3 linked regions of the Caenorhabditis elegans genome follow. The protein of the gene in region 3 interacts with the protein of the main gene of each other region in a biochemical or structural test. Each region holds a gene or a part of one and is shown on either strand. Other genes may lie near its edges.

The links. Proteins that work in one complex are often made in the same cells at the same time.
Region 1: the proteins of ced-10 (region 3) and pak-1 interact in far-western blotting, tested with the Caenorhabditis elegans proteins (one study listed by BioGRID).
Region 2: of the proteins of ced-10 (region 3) and unc-73, one has a biochemical effect on the other in vitro, tested with the Caenorhabditis elegans proteins (2 studies listed by BioGRID).

The regions. Positions count from the first base shown.
Region 1 is NC_003284.9:6,043,761-6,050,374, reverse strand, and holds pak-1 (Serine/threonine-protein kinase pak-1), read left to right. Parts: upstream 1-1,770; 5' UTR 1,771-1,776; coding exon 1,777-1,857; intron 1,858-2,016; coding exon 2,017-2,095; intron 2,096-2,143; coding exon 2,144-2,250; intron 2,251-2,798; coding exon 2,799-2,946; intron 2,947-2,994; coding exon 2,995-3,209; intron 3,210-3,253; coding exon 3,254-3,346; exon of another isoform or gene 3,347-3,495; intron 3,496-3,612; coding exon 3,613-4,180; intron 4,181-4,230; coding exon 4,231-4,304; intron 4,305-4,358; coding exon 4,359-4,481; intron 4,482-5,093; coding exon 5,094-5,165; intron 5,166-5,322; coding exon 5,323-5,481; 3' UTR 5,482-6,066; downstream 6,067-6,614. UniProt on the Caenorhabditis elegans protein: Required for hypodermal cell fusion, together with cdc-42 and ced-10, leading to embryonic body elongation, which involves dramatic cytoskeletal reorganization.
Region 2 is NC_003279.8:4,028,692-4,033,285, reverse strand, and holds the start of unc-73 (CRAL-TRIO domain-containing protein), read left to right. Parts: upstream 1-1,546; 5' UTR 1,547-1,658; coding exon 1,659-1,679; intron 1,680-4,057; coding exon 4,058-4,227; intron 4,228-4,402; coding exon 4,403-4,496; intron 4,497-4,594.
Region 3 is NC_003282.8:3,505,780-3,511,151, reverse strand, and holds ced-10 (Ras-related protein ced-10), read left to right. Parts: upstream 1-1,624; 5' UTR 1,625-1,658; coding exon 1,659-1,763; intron 1,764-2,043; exon of another isoform or gene 2,044-2,193; intron 2,194-2,551; coding exon 2,552-2,643; intron 2,644-2,910; coding exon 2,911-3,096; intron 3,097-3,580; coding exon 3,581-3,773; 3' UTR 3,774-4,824; downstream 4,825-5,372. Other genes in the region: tsg-101 (Tumor susceptibility gene 101 protein), read left to right, coding at 548-678; srz-83 (Serpentine Receptor, class Z), read right to left, coding at 5,037-5,270, 5,319-5,372. UniProt on the Caenorhabditis elegans protein: Required in engulfing to control the phagocytosis of apoptotic cell corpses. Required in embryonic development for the correct positioning and orientation of the mitotic spindles and division planes in blastomere cells.

The sequences.
Region 1 (6,614 bases), on a different chromosome or scaffold from region 3:
TGTCGTGTATATGTGTGTGTGCGTATGTCTGGTTGTGTGTGTTCTTCTTCATTTGACCGCTATCGATTGATTTTATCTCCAACGACATCCTCCCCTCATCCGTCCGTTTTGCCCCTCCGCAGCTCTTTATCAATTGCCTTGGCCGCATCATCCGCGACCCACCGTACTAGTTATCTTTCTCTGTTTCCTCCATTCAATTGATAACACTAGAAAATGGCGCGCGTTCAACAAACACAGTGCCATTCTCCATTTCTAGCAAACAGTCCAGGTTTCGAACTGTTTTTTTTCTACATTGTGCAAAATGAGATTGGATTTCTTATCGACAGTGTAATAAAATCTTAGATACCTAGATTTTGTTTCTCATTTTTCTTTTTTTTTTTTCTTTCGGTTTTGTGATTTTCCTTTGGGTTTTTGCAGGTCTAGATTGTAAATATTCCCAAATTAACAGATTATGTAATGAGGATTCTCAAAAAATGTTCAACAATTTTTTATGGCGGTCTGAAATTTTAAAAACACCTAATTTTAATTAAAATTGGCTATTTTTTCATGTCTCAGCTGTTGGAAAATTTATTTTGAAGATTAGAATGTTTTTATTGCATATTGGTGATTTTCTTACATTATTTTGTTAATGAATGTACATTTAAAGCCCATACGTAATTGAAAATGGCCACAATCAACCCCCTATGATTTTTATGAGGTCTCATTATTAAATTTGTTCCTTTATGAACATTTTGAGTGCTTACAAGTAAAAACCCAAAACCGATACCCCTCCTTTAATCGAGAATAGTATTAGACCAAAAGTATCATCATTCACCGTTAGTATGAATGCAAACTTTTCAGCTTTTTTTCGGCTTTCACTTTCTAATTTCCTAAACTAGTTCTCAACATTGTCACTCACTCCGAACCTCGTTTCACAGTTTCTACTCTTTTCGGCTTCACACTTCTAGAACATTATCCGGCTGATTGCCACTTGGATGACAAGCGGGAAACAAGTACGCGAACACACGGTGGTGGGCGATAAAATGAAGTGAAACATGAATGACTCATATCATCACACTTTAAAAAAGATTCCCGTCTCTTCTTTTTCTCCTTTGAAAAATATTCCTTCTTCTTCCTCTGGCCCAGTTTATTCACCATCCATCATCTCCTAAACTTTGAAATCTTTCGTTTTGAAAACCAAAAAGCCATCTATCTTTTTCGGGTCAAACTCACGTCAGACGTTGGTTGCAGATAGGCTCTTTGAAGCAATAATGCAAATGAGAACTCCGAAGAAAAGGTCAAATTCTGGGTCCCACATTTTCCATAACTCCTACCCTGAGATTACTAAAAAAATATAGAAAAGCAATCCAATAGACGACCTCGAAAGGCGAAAGGGCCATGCTTTTTCGGTCCAAGATTACTCATAGCACTGGGTCAATGTCCTCTTTACACCATGTGTTGTGCATCCATTTCCCTGCCCGCTCCTATCAATTTCCTCTTTTGTTAGTCATAGTCCAACAATTTTTTTATAAGGGGGCGGTCAGCAATTTGTTCTTTCTTTTTCTGATTCTTTATTGTGATCGTTTTTCTATGTTTTTTTGACTCAACAAAACATGAATATTGGTTCCAATTTTCCTATTTTTCCAACAGTTTCGATTTCACTTGACAACGAAAATTCCTCCTAATTATTGTTTTCCTTTTTCAGTTTTACATTGCATACTGTATTCCTTCATTCTTTTTTGGTTTGATGCTTGTGTCTTCTTTTTCCAACAGTTTCAATTTTCCAGGCTTGCCAAAATGAAAGCTTTCTCATCGTATGATGAGAAACCACCAGCACCACCAATTCGTTTCAGCAGCTCGGCAACGAGGGAGAATCAGGTAATTAACTCGTCCCTCCACTCCTCCCCAAAGATGGGCGACAATCTTTCGAAGGTTCTTCTTCCAAATCAGATGATGCATGTGTTGCTTGCCCCTCTCCCACCCATCTCTATTTCTCTTTTTTCCATTCTCCATGTCTTGACTAACTCAATTTTTCAGGTCGTCGGATTGAAGCCATTGCCCAAAGAGCCAGAAGCAACCAAGAAAAAGAAGACGATGCCTAACCCGTTCATGAAAAGTAATATATTGCTCTTGTAACCATTCCTGATTTTCCTGTTTTTTTCAGAGAACAAAGACAAAAAGGAAGCGTCAGAAAAACCAGTGATCTCTCGACCGAGCAATTTCGAACACACAATTCATGTCGGATATGACCCAAAAACCGGCGAATTTACGGTCAGTATTTTTTCAAAAAGTTTTTGTAGCAGTTTTCCCACTCTTGCGTTACTTGCAAGATTATTTTCCAATGATGAACGAGTGATACAGCTGTCATTCTGACACCGGTCGCAACCGCTAATCGTACCAGATTAACGTGAATGCTAATAGTAAGCTAAAAACTAAAAACTACTACTTTTACTTTTTCCCTCAGTCAAAAAATCATTATAAACAAATCTCAATTTATAATAATATTTTGCAACCGTTAATTCAGTGCATTATCTTCTAAAAACGTGTTATTCTTGAAACCATGGTTAGTGTTAATAAAGCTTGCGTTTTTGAGACGTTTTAAGAAAACAAATCCATACGAGAAAAATTTAAGTGAAGCCAATTATCACGAACATGTATTCAACCAAAGATAGTTTCTTCTAAAGACCTATGAAATTGTCCCAATTTTTTTAGTATGAAGAGGTCTGTTTTGTCGAATAGACTTGAGAAACTACTGTAGAATCTTATTTATAAACTTTTCTCAGAAACTTTTGCTCCTTATCAACAATATAAATTTTCAGGGAATGCCTGAAGCATGGGCACGTCTTCTCACAGACTCACAGATCTCAAAACAAGAGCAGCAACAGAATCCTCAGGCAGTGTTGGACGCGCTCAAATACTACACACAAGGCGAAAGCAGCGGCCAGAAGTGGTTGCAGTACGATATGAGTAAGTAACCCGTAGTCAGTCTTGCTAATGGAGCTCATTCTTCTACAGTGTTTATAGATGACGCACCTTCTCGGACGCCATCATACGGACTGAAACCGCAACCATATAGCACATCATCCCTGCCGTATCATGGCAATAAAATTCAGGATCCAAGAAAGATGAATCCAATGACAACCAGTACAAGTAGTGCGGGGTATAACAGCAAGCAAGGAGTTCCTCCGACGACGTTTAGTGTAAATGAGAATAGATCGAGTATGCCACCGGTAAGTGGGAAGAATAATCTTGAAGTTCATATTGATTGCTTCAGAGTTATGCACCGCCACCGGTCCCCCATGGTGAAACTCCTGCTGATATTGTTCCTCCCGCTATCCCTGATAGGCCGGCAAGGACGTTGAGTATTGTGAGTAGAATTTTTGGTACTTGTGTATTACATGCCCTTAGTTTTAGAGTATTTTTTTAAGTTAAAAACAATAAAAACGTGTACCACATTTTTTATTTCTAGGTTTAGGAAATAATCTTTCTAAGCCTGGAGAGGAAAAATGTATATCACGTTTAAATTATATGGAGAAATGAATGAAAATTTAATTCAATTTCAAAATGAGGGCATGTAATACACAAGTACCGAATTTTTCCCAAGTTCTCTATAACATATAAGTATATTTTCAGTACACAAAACCGAAAGAGGAGGAAGAAAAAATTCCAGACCTTTCAAAAGGACAATTTGGTGTACAGGCCAGAGGTCAAAAAGCTAAGAAAAAGATGACTGACGCTGAAGTGCTGACTAAGCTCCGTACCATTGTGTCTATCGGAAATCCAGATCGAAAATATAGAAAAGTTGATAAAATCGGCTCAGGTGCATCTGGTTCTGTGTACACCGCTATTGAAATTAGTACCGAAGCGGAGGTGGCTATCAAGCAGATGAACCTGAAGGATCAACCAAAGAAGGAATTGATCATTAATGAGATTTTGGTGATGCGTGAGAATAAGCATGCAAATATTGTAAATTATTTGGATTCGTATTTGGTGTGCGATGAATTATGGGTAGTGATGGAGTATCTTGCCGGTGGATCATTGACTGATGTTGTCACGGAGTGCCAGATGGAGGATGGAATTATTGCAGCTGTTTGCAGAGAAGTTCTTCAAGCGCTTGAATTCCTCCACAGCCGCCACGTCATTCACAGAGATATTAAATCTGACAATATTCTTTTGGGAATGGATGGTTCGGTGAAATTGAGTAAGATTATAATTTTTAATGCTTTTGCAACCTACTTCTGTGAATTTCAGCCGACTTTGGATTCTGTGCTCAGCTCTCGCCGGAGCAAAGAAAACGCACGACAATGGTCGGAACTCCATACTGGGTGAGTGATGGAAATTGAAAAAGCGAATAGGAAATTAATGTTTGACAATTGCAGATGGCGCCGGAAGTGGTGACCCGCAAACAATACGGACCCAAGGTTGATGTGTGGTCCTTGGGAATCATGGCGATTGAGATGGTCGAAGGAGAACCGCCATATTTGAATGAAAATCCACTCAGGGTATGAAATATTTGCTTTTTTGAATTTAAGAAGACAACGCTTGATAATTGAAAAAAAAAACATGAATCTGAATATATGATTCCTTTCAATAACACTTGTGCTCGCAGAGTGTGAATGAGAAATGGAAATTTGTTGTTACAGCGATAAATTTGTTGCTTAATGAATTTCAAAAAAATCTAATTGGCCACTATTCCCTAGTAAGAATAGCAACCCCAGTTTTGCCCATAACGATCAGAAAATAATTTGGTTCAGGTTGAGGTCATGTTATTGAACAGGCGCCTAAGAAAAAATTTAGCAGAAACTTTACATTTTTCCGTAACTTCTCAGCTAACTTTAGCAACCAATCTCAAAAGTTGCAATAGTTGGGTAAAGTTGGTAAAAGTTAGGGATGACCCCCACCGCAAGATACAGATGTGCATTGAGAACTACCGAAAGCTGGGTAAACTTTGTTGAAAAATCGCTTAAGTTGAGAAGATTGAGACGTTGTTGAGAAGTTGCTGTAAAATGACGAGAAAGTTAAAGTTAAAGTTGTTTCAGCTATACTTAGGTTTTATAATTTTAGCTTAAAATTTCTCATCAATCAATATTGATCTTAAAAATATTTTTTTTCAGGCTATCTATCTCATTGCTACAAATGGCAAACCCGACTTCCCTGGAAGAGATTCCATGACTTTGTTGTTCAAGGTAAGAGAACTCGAGAACTTTCGAAACAGAAGATTTGATAAAAAAAATATTTGTTAACAGTTAGTCACAAATGTACAAAAGATGACTCAACTGCTACCGCAGTTTTACTTTACTTTCAGTACAGTATCAATTTCTCCCATTCTGTCCCAATTTCCAGGACTTTGTCGACTCTGCGTTGGAAGTACAAGTTGAAAATCGATGGTCGGCAAGCCAACTCCTTACGCATCCATTCCTCCGATGCGCCAAACCGCTTGCTTCACTGTACTACTTAATCGTTGCGGCGAAGAAGAGCATCGCCGAAGCTAGCAACTCATAATTATGATGATTGTATTCTCAATACACGACGTGTATTTCTTGTTCTTCTCAAATCTCAAGTCGTACTTACTTTGAAACTGTTTTCTTTTCTCTCCATCTCAAGTCATTTCTAACTATCTACTTTGAGCCCAACTTACCGTTTCCCAACAAAAAAGTCACACCTTAGTAATTTGTGTAATGTTTTCTGGAATCGATCACGAGTAAAAATTCAAGCCCCTTCATTATTTCACATCTTCCCCCTCTTTATCTCTTCTCGCAATGCACAATTTGGACTATCTCTTTTTTCTTGTTGTTGAGCGTTCCCAATCAGACGACACACTTCAATTATTTATGTAAGTTTTTTGTCTTCACTTTGTCTTCTTTTCATTCGGTTTCTTGCATTTGTGTCGTTCGAACGGAAATCTACAGTTAACCAGCTTTGCCCAAATTTCCCTATTTCTTTTTCAAGTGTCTGTAGGTGGGAACTATTGAAACTCTGTTTTCATGTGGTTTCCAATTTAAAAATCGGCCATAAGGTCAAAATCTTAAATTTTGTCTCATGACGTTTGAAACAATTGATCATGTTTAATAAAAGAGAGATGAATTTACTTATAGAATCAGAAAAGTTTTCAAAATAGTCAAATTTTGTTCAAGGAAATTGTACTATTTTCTTTTGAAAAATTATTTATTATTATTCCTGACCAGGTACATGGTATAAGGTAGTTTACCTCAAAAATTAGAAATGATAAATAGTTCATTTGAATGATTATGTTTAGACTATATATTTTATTCTAGAAATAGTTATTCTAGTAATTGCAGCAGCACAACTCAACTCCCACCACCACAATTTAGGTATATCTGAACTTTGTTGAGAGCAACTGTGCTAAAGGACACAAAAGTTACTCCAGAGGCTGATAATGTTGTCAGGCTGATTATTGATAATTTTAAAGGTTTTCAAGAACACGCACAACATATTTTAGCAAAACTTAAAAAATCAAGTCACATAACAAGTTGAATATGTGAATAATCCCTGTGAGTATTCTGGAACTATATTTTTCACCATAATAGTGATTGAAAGTTTCAGGAGCTTACAAATGTTTCATAGTGCTATAATGCCACTTTTTTCATATTTCTTATTGAAAACTAAAATCAAAA
Region 2 (4,594 bases), on a different chromosome or scaffold from region 3:
TATTTTTCATTAAAATTTAGTGTCAAAATATAGGATTGATTGATCTGAAAATAATTTTTTAGTTGAAAAAAAATCCTTAAAAGTTGTCTGAAAGGTGAAAATTGCTGGAATAAATCAGACAAATTATTGACACTTTTTTCCAGCAATTGGCAACTTTCATGCAATTTTTAATCATATTTTCACATTTTCAAACTTAAATGAAAATTATTTTCTGATTAATAAATTATTTGTTATATATTTTTGCATTAAATTTTGATCTGTTTTGCCTGTTGAACTAAAATGCTCTAGTTCAGATACAAGTAGTTTCAAAGAATTTGAGAGATTAGATTATAAAGACATCTCAACAACTTCTAGAGCTCACAACAGCATCTATTGAGTTCAATTGAAAAATTCAATTTTGGAGAAGAAAGGATTTAAACAGAATTATCTATATTTGAAGTGTTGCTAACATACTTCTTGTCATCTGTCGCCTGCATCGTTTGCACCTGCCACCATTACCGCCATCTCACGTCGTCGTCTTCTTCATGTCTTCTTTCTTATTTTGCCTGTTGTGTCCCCGGCGGTCTGTCCGGTCCATCAACATCCGTCTGCGCGCGCAGTGACCCTTGCGTTCTCTTTTTACGTCTGCGTCTCTACAGGACACTAGCACTGTCTCATATGACCAGCGGTCTGCTACAACGGCCGTTAGCCTCCCATAACAATTCGCTTGTCTCCCGCTTTCGTACGCTATTCCCGGAGCGGTGCCCACCCCAATGGTTGGGCCCTCTTGAGAGAAATAGTTCGTTTTGGTAGCTCTTCCTTTTCTTCTTCCTTTTCCACGATTTTCGCATTTTCACACCCAACGATTTGTAATGCGTTGTGCAACTAATAATTGAGACTAGATTCATCACATCTTTATTTGCTTATTTTATTTTATGCAGTGAAGACATTTGAATAATGCATACTTCCTGAAAAAGTACGTATTCTAGTGAGAAGATCTAATAACGTTTCGCAATGTTTCGACCTTTTCCATCCTATTTTTAGCTGCTTGAGTATAGAATTTCTTCAAAAATATCAATGAGTCAGTCATTTTAAAACAAACTTTAAAATTTAGTTTTAAAAATTGGCAAGACCATTTTGACCAAAATTTGGCAAGAGATTGTTTAGACTAGGGTCAAATAGAATTAAATTAGCTCAAGCCACATGTTGCCAATTTCCGATTTAAGCCATTTTTTTCCGGATTGTTTGAAATATTTTGTATACCAAACTTGTTCCAAGAAGATGTTAAGCTATATGAAAAGCTTCTAAAATTGTAATGCACTTATTTTTAAATGTTCTGGAAAATTTTGTTTTTTCCATAATAATTAATAATTTTGTCTCGATTTTTTCTTTGATTTTTAAAATCTTATTTAGTGTGATTTTCCATGATTTTCGAGCAATATTTCATCAGAAAATTTAAATCGAAAATCAACTTTTTCTCTCTTTTCAATACGCACTCTATTTTATTTTCTCAAATCTCTTTTTTTGAAAGAAATTTAAAATTCTTTGAAAACTGTCATTTTTTCAGATAAACGGGTTCTCATCTGATCGTCACAATACACACACAGACATTCAGAAGCACATGATTATTTTGAATTCAAGAAGAGTCGTCAAATTCGCATAAAATTCCTCCATCAGTTATGGGCGATTATGATGGAAAAGTGAGTTTTTTCAGTTTCATGGTGGCGGCAGCGGCAACTTGTGAAAAAAGAGGCAGAGATGCCGGCGCCGTAATCCATTGAAGCGATTAATGCGGAAAACGAGTGCAAACTGTACGATTTGATAGAGAAAAGAATACGTTTTTGTTTTTCGAATGTTCCGAGAAATGTCTTTTTCATCAAATTTTTAAATTTCAAATAATTTAATTTTGTTTTGTTAATATTGCCCAGACGCAAAGTTTTGCGATATTTGCAATAAAAATACGGTATTCGGTCTCGATACTACAAATTTTTGATGAGCCTTTAAAGATTACTGTAGTTTAGTTGATTATTGATTTTTTTCTCTATATTTGTTTAAATTTATGTGTTTAACAGTTTTTTTGTTGTAAAATTGTTCCGATGAAAAATTTTTTTATAAATAACAATGAAAATTGATGAAAATTCCGCAAAAACCAAATGCTAGAGATTACAGTATTCTTCAAATAAAATTTTATCGTGTCAAGACCGGGTACCGTATTTTGATACAAAAATCGTTAAATTTCGCCTATGAGTAGTAGAAAAAATTAACACCAAAACAGCAACTAAAAAATTTAATATAACTTTAAAGTTTTGCCAAAATTGAAAAAAAAAATTTCCGAGATCTCTACTCTTTTTCACGACTATAAATCTTGATTAGGTCCAAACTAAAGAAAAATAAATCATAATAATTGATGTATTACGATTACAAACCTTCCCAGACAATTGTTGAAAAGTGTAAAATGAGTTCATCACGTTTTTGAAATATGTTATGAGTCAATTGTTTTGTGTCACTCATTCCGAAATTCGGTGCTCTCCCGGTGCTCCTGCTTCTTCTCACCCATTATTTCCGGATAGATCATGAGATGGAGAGACGCAGATAGCACGATAATAGTGACCGGTTGTGTAAAGTTGTGTGAGAAAAGAAACGAAATAGTGGGAGCTTATCAAGCTCTTCCCTCAATCCTTGAAACAGATGGTACTCTCAAAGAGTGCCTTCTCGATTAGCACCAATCTTACTACTAGTATGTTGTTGTTCGAGACAGGATTATGACCTCGAGAAGCGAGGAAAATGTGAGAGAGAACGAATACCAACAAAAAAATCCGAATAGTGTGTGTGTGTAATGACGGCAGTTTATGGCAATCGGGGAAGACATTGAGAATTGTTGTAGTGCAAAAAATTGGAGGAAAAAGAAAGAAAAAATGAAAGAAAATCTCTTGTGTGCCGGGTTTTCTTTCTTCCTTTTTCGTTTTTTTTCGTGTTGGTTTGCCTTGCAAGTAAACTAGTCAACTTCAAAATACTCTGGTTGAGCTTTTACAAAAAGTTCTCTCAGTCTTTTTTCTTTCAAATACAAATTTTTCTGCCCAATTTTTTCACAAAATAAACAAAAAGAGCCAAACTTTTATAGGTAGTTTTTGAGTACATTGTACTGATTATTTTAATTTAAAATCAATGATTCTAGTTTGTTATCTCTATTTTACAGTTTCATAAAATTTAAAAAAAGTAATGTACAGTGAATGATTTCAAATTTTTCTTTCAGTATTGGCCATACAAAAATGAAAAAATACAAAAAATAAAAAAATTTTATAAAACCTAGATTTCCGTTTGACATTTTCTTTTTTATTCCAAGTTTTAGTGCAAGTTCAGCGAAAATTCGCCCCCTGCGACTTCACCATTTAGAATTCGAAAATTTCAAAATTTGGTGCCCGCTTCTTGCCCAGAAGTTGGCAAAGCTTAGATTGATTTAGACTGCGCCCAAATCCAGCCCAAACTTGATCCAACTTTTGACAAACTCTAACCCAAGTTTAAAACCACACAAGAAAAGTTGGGCGCACCCTAACCAAGTATAAGTTTTGCCCAATTTTTGGTCCAAAATTAGACAAGAAGCTAGCCCTAAAAATCGAGTTAGTGATCGCAGAACTGTTATCTCTGACTCTCTGCTTTTCCTCCAAATCAACAGTCATTTTCCATTGCCGGGGGCCGCGAACAGCGCACTAACCATTCCGTCCGTCCGTCCCAATACACGAAAAAGTCGATTAGCAGATTGAACTTGGTGATAAACTGCAGTGCAATGTGACCAGCCCCTTTTCGTTCCACTCGACTCCCCCCCTATTCCACTCTTCGGTGTTGTGTTGCCTGCGTCTCAACGCTCTCTCCCTCTATCTCACCCGTTTCCTCTGGTGGTGAATTGAATTTCGAATGGTCCTTCTTTTACGACAAACACTGATATTTTTTGGAGCCACTGCGAGCTTTTTTTGGTTTTCTAAGATTTTGGTTTCATGTTCCCGGACATTTTGAACTTTCAAAAATAATCTCAAAAACTCTATGAAAACTTTTGATTTTAAACAATTCGAAAAAATTCCAGATGACGATGAAAGCAGAAGACATTCTGCATGTTCTTCGTGACGGCATTGCAGTACTTCCTGGAGGACGATGTAGAGCCGGACAAGCAGTTATCGTATGTCCATCACGAGAGCAACCTGTCAATCAGGATAATTTACGCAATGTCTTTCTGTATTTATTTGAAGTTACTTCGTAAGTTTTTTATTTGACTGAAATGGAACAACCACACTGTGAAAAAACAAAATTTATAAAAAGATATTTCAAAAAATTTATTTCCATTTTTCAATTCAATTACTTAACAATAAGCCTAGCCTAAGCCCACAAAACACAAATTTCAAAAAAACCAAACAAAAAATTGAATTTGCAGGAAGATGGCACGCGAAAAGGGATTCCTTGTGGTAATTGATATGCGTGGAAAACAAACATGGACCAATGTTCGACACATTCTGAAAGCTCTCAGTGTATGGTTTTTTTTTCGTTTAAAAAATATGGATTCCTACAAAAACAACAAAAAACTATATACACTTATAACAGCCAAAAATAGCGGAATATCCTTTAA
Region 3 (5,372 bases):
TGGAATTGCTCAATCCTGAGGAAAATGTGCAAAAATTGTTTTCAAAAAATGCAGAAGTTGAAAATTAAGAAAAACTAGTGAAAATGTTTCAAAAAAATTAAATTAAAGTTGAGATTTTTCGAAGTTTCTGAGAGATTTGAAGCCAAATTAAAAGCGTTTTTCTGAAATTTTTCAACGATTTCGTCTATTAGCACTACTACAAATCATTCAAAAACCCCCGAAAAAAAACAGAAATTAGTTAAAATTGACTTTAAATTCTAGAAAATTCACAAAAACTACAAAAAATTGGAAGTTTCTGAACAATTTTCAGCCATTTTTACTCCAAAATTTTGTTGAAATCGTTCAAAAATCAGTTTCGGTTTTATTTTAGCAAAAGTGTTTTTTTTTTGCGGAAATTTGATAGAAAAATTATTGAAAATGACTGAAAATTGGAATTTCAGCAAATTTTCGGTGTAAAAATTTTTCCGAAATCCAGCAAAAAAAAAAACGAAAAAAAATTATGGTATTTATGAGAAATTTTTTTTTTGCCTAATCTTCAAAATTTCAGGTCAATCACTGAAAAAACGCCAAATAACACTTGCCGAATACCTCCGCCATGTTCGTGACGTGTCCCGAGAGCAATTTATCTACCGAGCAACAATGCAGAAATGTCGACGAACTGCTGGTCTTCCTATTTAAAATTTAAATAAAATTTGGATTGAAAATCGTGGAAATTTTTGAGAAAAAATTGCTAATTTTTTGACCAAAACTGGAAAATCGTGAAAAATTGTCCATAAAAATGCTAAAAATTCGATAAAATTCTCGATTTTTGGATGAAAAATACTTTTTTCAATAAAAAGTGGGAATTTCAGCGATTTTCTGACGAAAAACTTAAAATTATTGCTGAGAAATCGAGAAAAATGCATTTTTTTAAAACGATTTTAGCTAAAAATTCCATATTTCATTTATTTTCCTGATGAAAAATTGTTTAACATCAAAATTTCGGTGCTTTTCCGTGATTTTTCAAGTTTTTTACATGTTTTTCCGTTAAAAATTCACTTAAATCTTCTAATTTCAGCCGAAAATTGTAAATTTCAATAATTCCCGTTAAAAATGATGGAGCTTCTATTGAAAATTACCTCGAAAAAAGCTTTCTTTTTTTGACGATTTTCCAGCCGAAACATGTAAATTACGACGAATTTCAGTGACTTTTTTGTCAAAAAAATTACGGTTTTCACTCATTTTTCCATCTTCTCATTTCAAAATTTCTCCCATTGCCGCCATTTTTCTCTAATACTCCCTTTCTCTCCGTCTTGATGCCCGTTGTGATTTGGTTTGTTCTCTCTCTCTCTCTCTTTTTTTCCGTTTTATAGACACAATTTTCTAGATTTTTCCCCATTTAAAATATCCAATTTTGCACCCATTTCCCCATTTTTCCCGGGGGAAAAGCTCGCTTTTCTCTCGAAATTCGATGACTTTTTCAGGTTTTTTGTTCATTTATTTTTTGTACAAAAATTTTAATTTAAATGTGATTTTTCCCCCCATTTTTTTCTGATTTTTTCGCTCAAAATACCGTGATTTTTGGCGGTTTTTCAATATTTTTGATAGATTTTTTTTGTTGCTATTTTTAAGCCAATTTTTCCAGCTTTTTGTGCTTGTGCTCGCGGAGCTCCCCACAAATGCAAGCGATCAAATGTGTCGTCGTTGGTGACGGAGCCGTCGGTAAAACGTGTCTCCTGATATCCTACACCACAAACGCATTTCCCGGAGAATATATTCCGACGGTGAGTCATTTTTAAAGCAAAAATTGAGATAAAATTACGTTTTTTGGCTCAGAAAATAGGACATTTTGACACAAAATCGAAAAAAAAAAACAAAGAAATTTAGGCAAAAAATATTCAAAATTGTTGTATTTTGATCCAAAAATCATTGAAATAAATATTTTTTTAGGCCAAAAACTGGGAAAAATAGTGAAATTATCAATACTGAAAATCGTGAACATTTTGATTTATAAAACATTTAAATAAAAAATAATTTAAATTAAATTTTTTTTGCTAAAAATCGTTTTAAAAAGTACATTTTTTTAATCAAAAAAATAAGTGAAATTTCACTGAAAAGTATGAAAATTAAAACTTCCGTTTTTTACGGAAAATCTAGACAAAAAACTTTTCAAAATGCGATAAAAAAGTTTTCTGCAAAAATCGTTTTAAGAAACACATTTTTAGCGAAATTTTGCTGAAAAATATGAAAATTGTCAACTTGTTCCCATAAAAATCAATAAATTAATATTTTTTATACCAAAAGCTGGGAAAATGGTGAAATTTCATATAAAAATTGGTATTTTTATTTGAAAAAAAAATGTCGAAAATTTCAAAAAACTTCAGTTTTTTTAAACGGAAAATCTAGAAAATTTTGATTCAAAAAACTTTTAAAAATGCAATAAAATTGTAGGCTTTTTGCAACAAAAAAATTGAAAATTTTGAAAAGCGCACAATTTCCCGCAAAAAATATGAAAGGTGTCTTCTTTTTCCCAAAAAAATGCTTTTTTCCCATAAATTCAAATTTTTTCCAGGTATTCGACAACTACTCAGCAAATGTGATGGTCGACGGTCGGCCGATAAATCTCGGGCTCTGGGATACAGCTGGACAGGAAGATTACGATCGGTACGGGCAGCGGGAAAACTGAAAATGCTCGAAAAAACTCAGGATTATGGGTTTTTTCAATAAAAAATTGCTCAGGATTATGTGATATTTTCCTCAATCAAAATGTGGAAAATATCACATTTTAGAAAATTTCATCCAATTTTTCATAAAATGACAGTGATTTTGAAGCTATTTTGTGGTGAAAAACTCGAAAAACATGGAATTTTTCGCACTTTGCACTAAAAATTACCCCAATTATCAATTTTTCAACACCAAAAAAATTTGCAGACTCCGACCACTGTCATATCCACAAACAGACGTGTTTCTCGTATGCTTTGCCCTGAACAATCCGGCGAGTTTTGAGAATGTTCGTGCGAAATGGTATCCAGAAGTGTCACATCATTGCCCGAATACGCCGATTATTTTGGTTGGAACGAAAGCTGATCTGCGTGAGGATCGAGATACTGTTGAACGGTAGATTTTTGGAGAATTTGAGAGAAAAATTGAGGAATAAAGTGAAAAATTTGTAGAAAATGATGAAAAATTGCCAAAAAATTCGAAAAAGCGCATAAAAATTCAGAAAATCACTTAAAAATTGAAGGAATACCGCCAAAACATTAGAAAAATCATTAGAAACGGCAAAAAAATGAGAAATAAGGAAAAAACGCATCAATTTCAGGAAAAAAAATTGCAAAAATTGTATGAAAAGTTGCGTAAAATAGCACAACATTCACATAAAATTTTGGAAAAAAATTTGCAAGATTTTGAGAAATTTGCTCAAAATGTTGAAAAAAAAATTAAAATTAAGATAAATCGCTAAAGAAATGTAAAAAGTTGCACTAAATTCGCATAAATTGTGGACAAAAGTTTGAAATTTTGAAAAAAAGCACATTAAACAAAATTGGCTTAAAATCGAGAAAACTTGCAAAAATTCCGAAAAAAAAAATTTTTTTTGCAGGCTCCGCGAACGCCGGCTCCAACCAGTGAGCCAAACCCAGGGCTACGTGATGGCAAAGGAAATCAAGGCTGTCAAGTATCTGGAGTGCTCGGCGCTCACGCAACGTGGTCTGAAACAAGTTTTCGATGAGGCGATCCGAGCCGTGCTCACGCCGCCACAAAGAGCCAAAAAGAGCAAGTGTACGGTGCTCTAAGATGGGGAAATTGGAGCAAACAATCGCAGAAACTACAACAATTTTAACTATATATATACATATATCATCTGGATTTTTTTTGTTTTATCGATGAATTTTGCTGTGAAATTACCGGTTTTTAGGGAGTAAAAATTGGCAAAAACTGAGCATTTTTAGGCAAAAAACTCGCCGATTTCCGTTCAAAGAAATGCTCCAAATCGGCTGAAAATTACTATTTTTTTTAACCGAAAATCGGCCAAATTTCCACTGAAAAAGCTCAATTTCAGCCGAAAATTTCTCGATTTTTTTCCAGAAAATTGTCCAAAATCTGGGCGTTTCCACTCTCTAAATCTGAATTTCCAGCACACTTTTTCTCATTTTCCCCCTCTATTTTTATCTCTAAAAATTTGTTTTGTATCAACGATTTTTCATCTTAAACTCGCTGTGATACTTTTCTTACTTATCCACCCCAATTTTCAGCATATTTTGTGCTCATTTTTGAGCCGAAAAATGCTCAATTTGTCCATTCATAATTTTGTGCTTTTCCCCTTTTCCCACCTGAAATAGGTCTTTTTTCATCTGAAAAATTGAATAACTTTTCCCCAAAAACCACAAGTGCTTTTTCCTCTCTAATTTTTATCGGTTTATTTTTTTTATTTGAAATTTCTTCGAAATTTTTGTGAAATTTCTTCGAAAAATCTGAAAATGTTTGGAAATCTCTACGATTTTTTCTAAAAAATGTTCAAACTTTTTGGAATTTGTTTGAAAAATTATTTGGAATTTTTCTGAAACTTTTTTTCAAAAACTTTCGATTTTTTTTTGTAATTTTTAGGACACAACGAACCCTCTCTCCACAACCAAAAATCCTCTTTTTTCTATTGTGAATTTGAACAACAAACTCGGCTCTTTTTCCCTTTTTTCTTACTTTAATTGTTAATTTCTCTTCTTTTTGTCCAACTTTTATTATGCTATTTTAATATGATGATATGATATTTTACCACACTTTTTTTCTATGATGGAATTTTAAATTTGAACATTTTTTGATGGAAAAATTGGAAAAAAAAACAATTCGAAAAGTTGCAGAGATTACAGATTTTTCTGAAACTTTCGATCAAAAATTTCAGATTCTGAGTTTTTTTACATTTGTTAATCGGACACAGAAATGAATGAAAAAAATCCTAAAAAATTTCCGAACTTTTGTTTTCTCGGTGGCCTAGAAAACCTAGATTTCTAGGAGTTTTCTAGTCCCCGGGCATTGGCCACCCAGCAAGCACGTGTGTGTGTTCATTGATCGTTAATGTGTGGGTTGACGCTGAAACTCTTGATCCCCAAAATCACTTTGATAAATCTTTTCAAACTGATTTTTTCCGATGAATCTCCAATCCATTTTCTGCTTCCCAAATACGGAACTTGAATAGTCAACGGAGTTATAAGAGTACTCACTAAGGTAGCGATTACCACAAAAGAGCACCCACAAGAACCATGTAACAACTGGATAGTGCTAAATATGATTGGGAACTGAAAACTGGTTCAAAAAATAAAATTGAATTACATCGAACTAAATACCGATTCAAATATTAGCGCAGTGACTGCCTGCCAGAAAATGTACTTTTGCAGAAT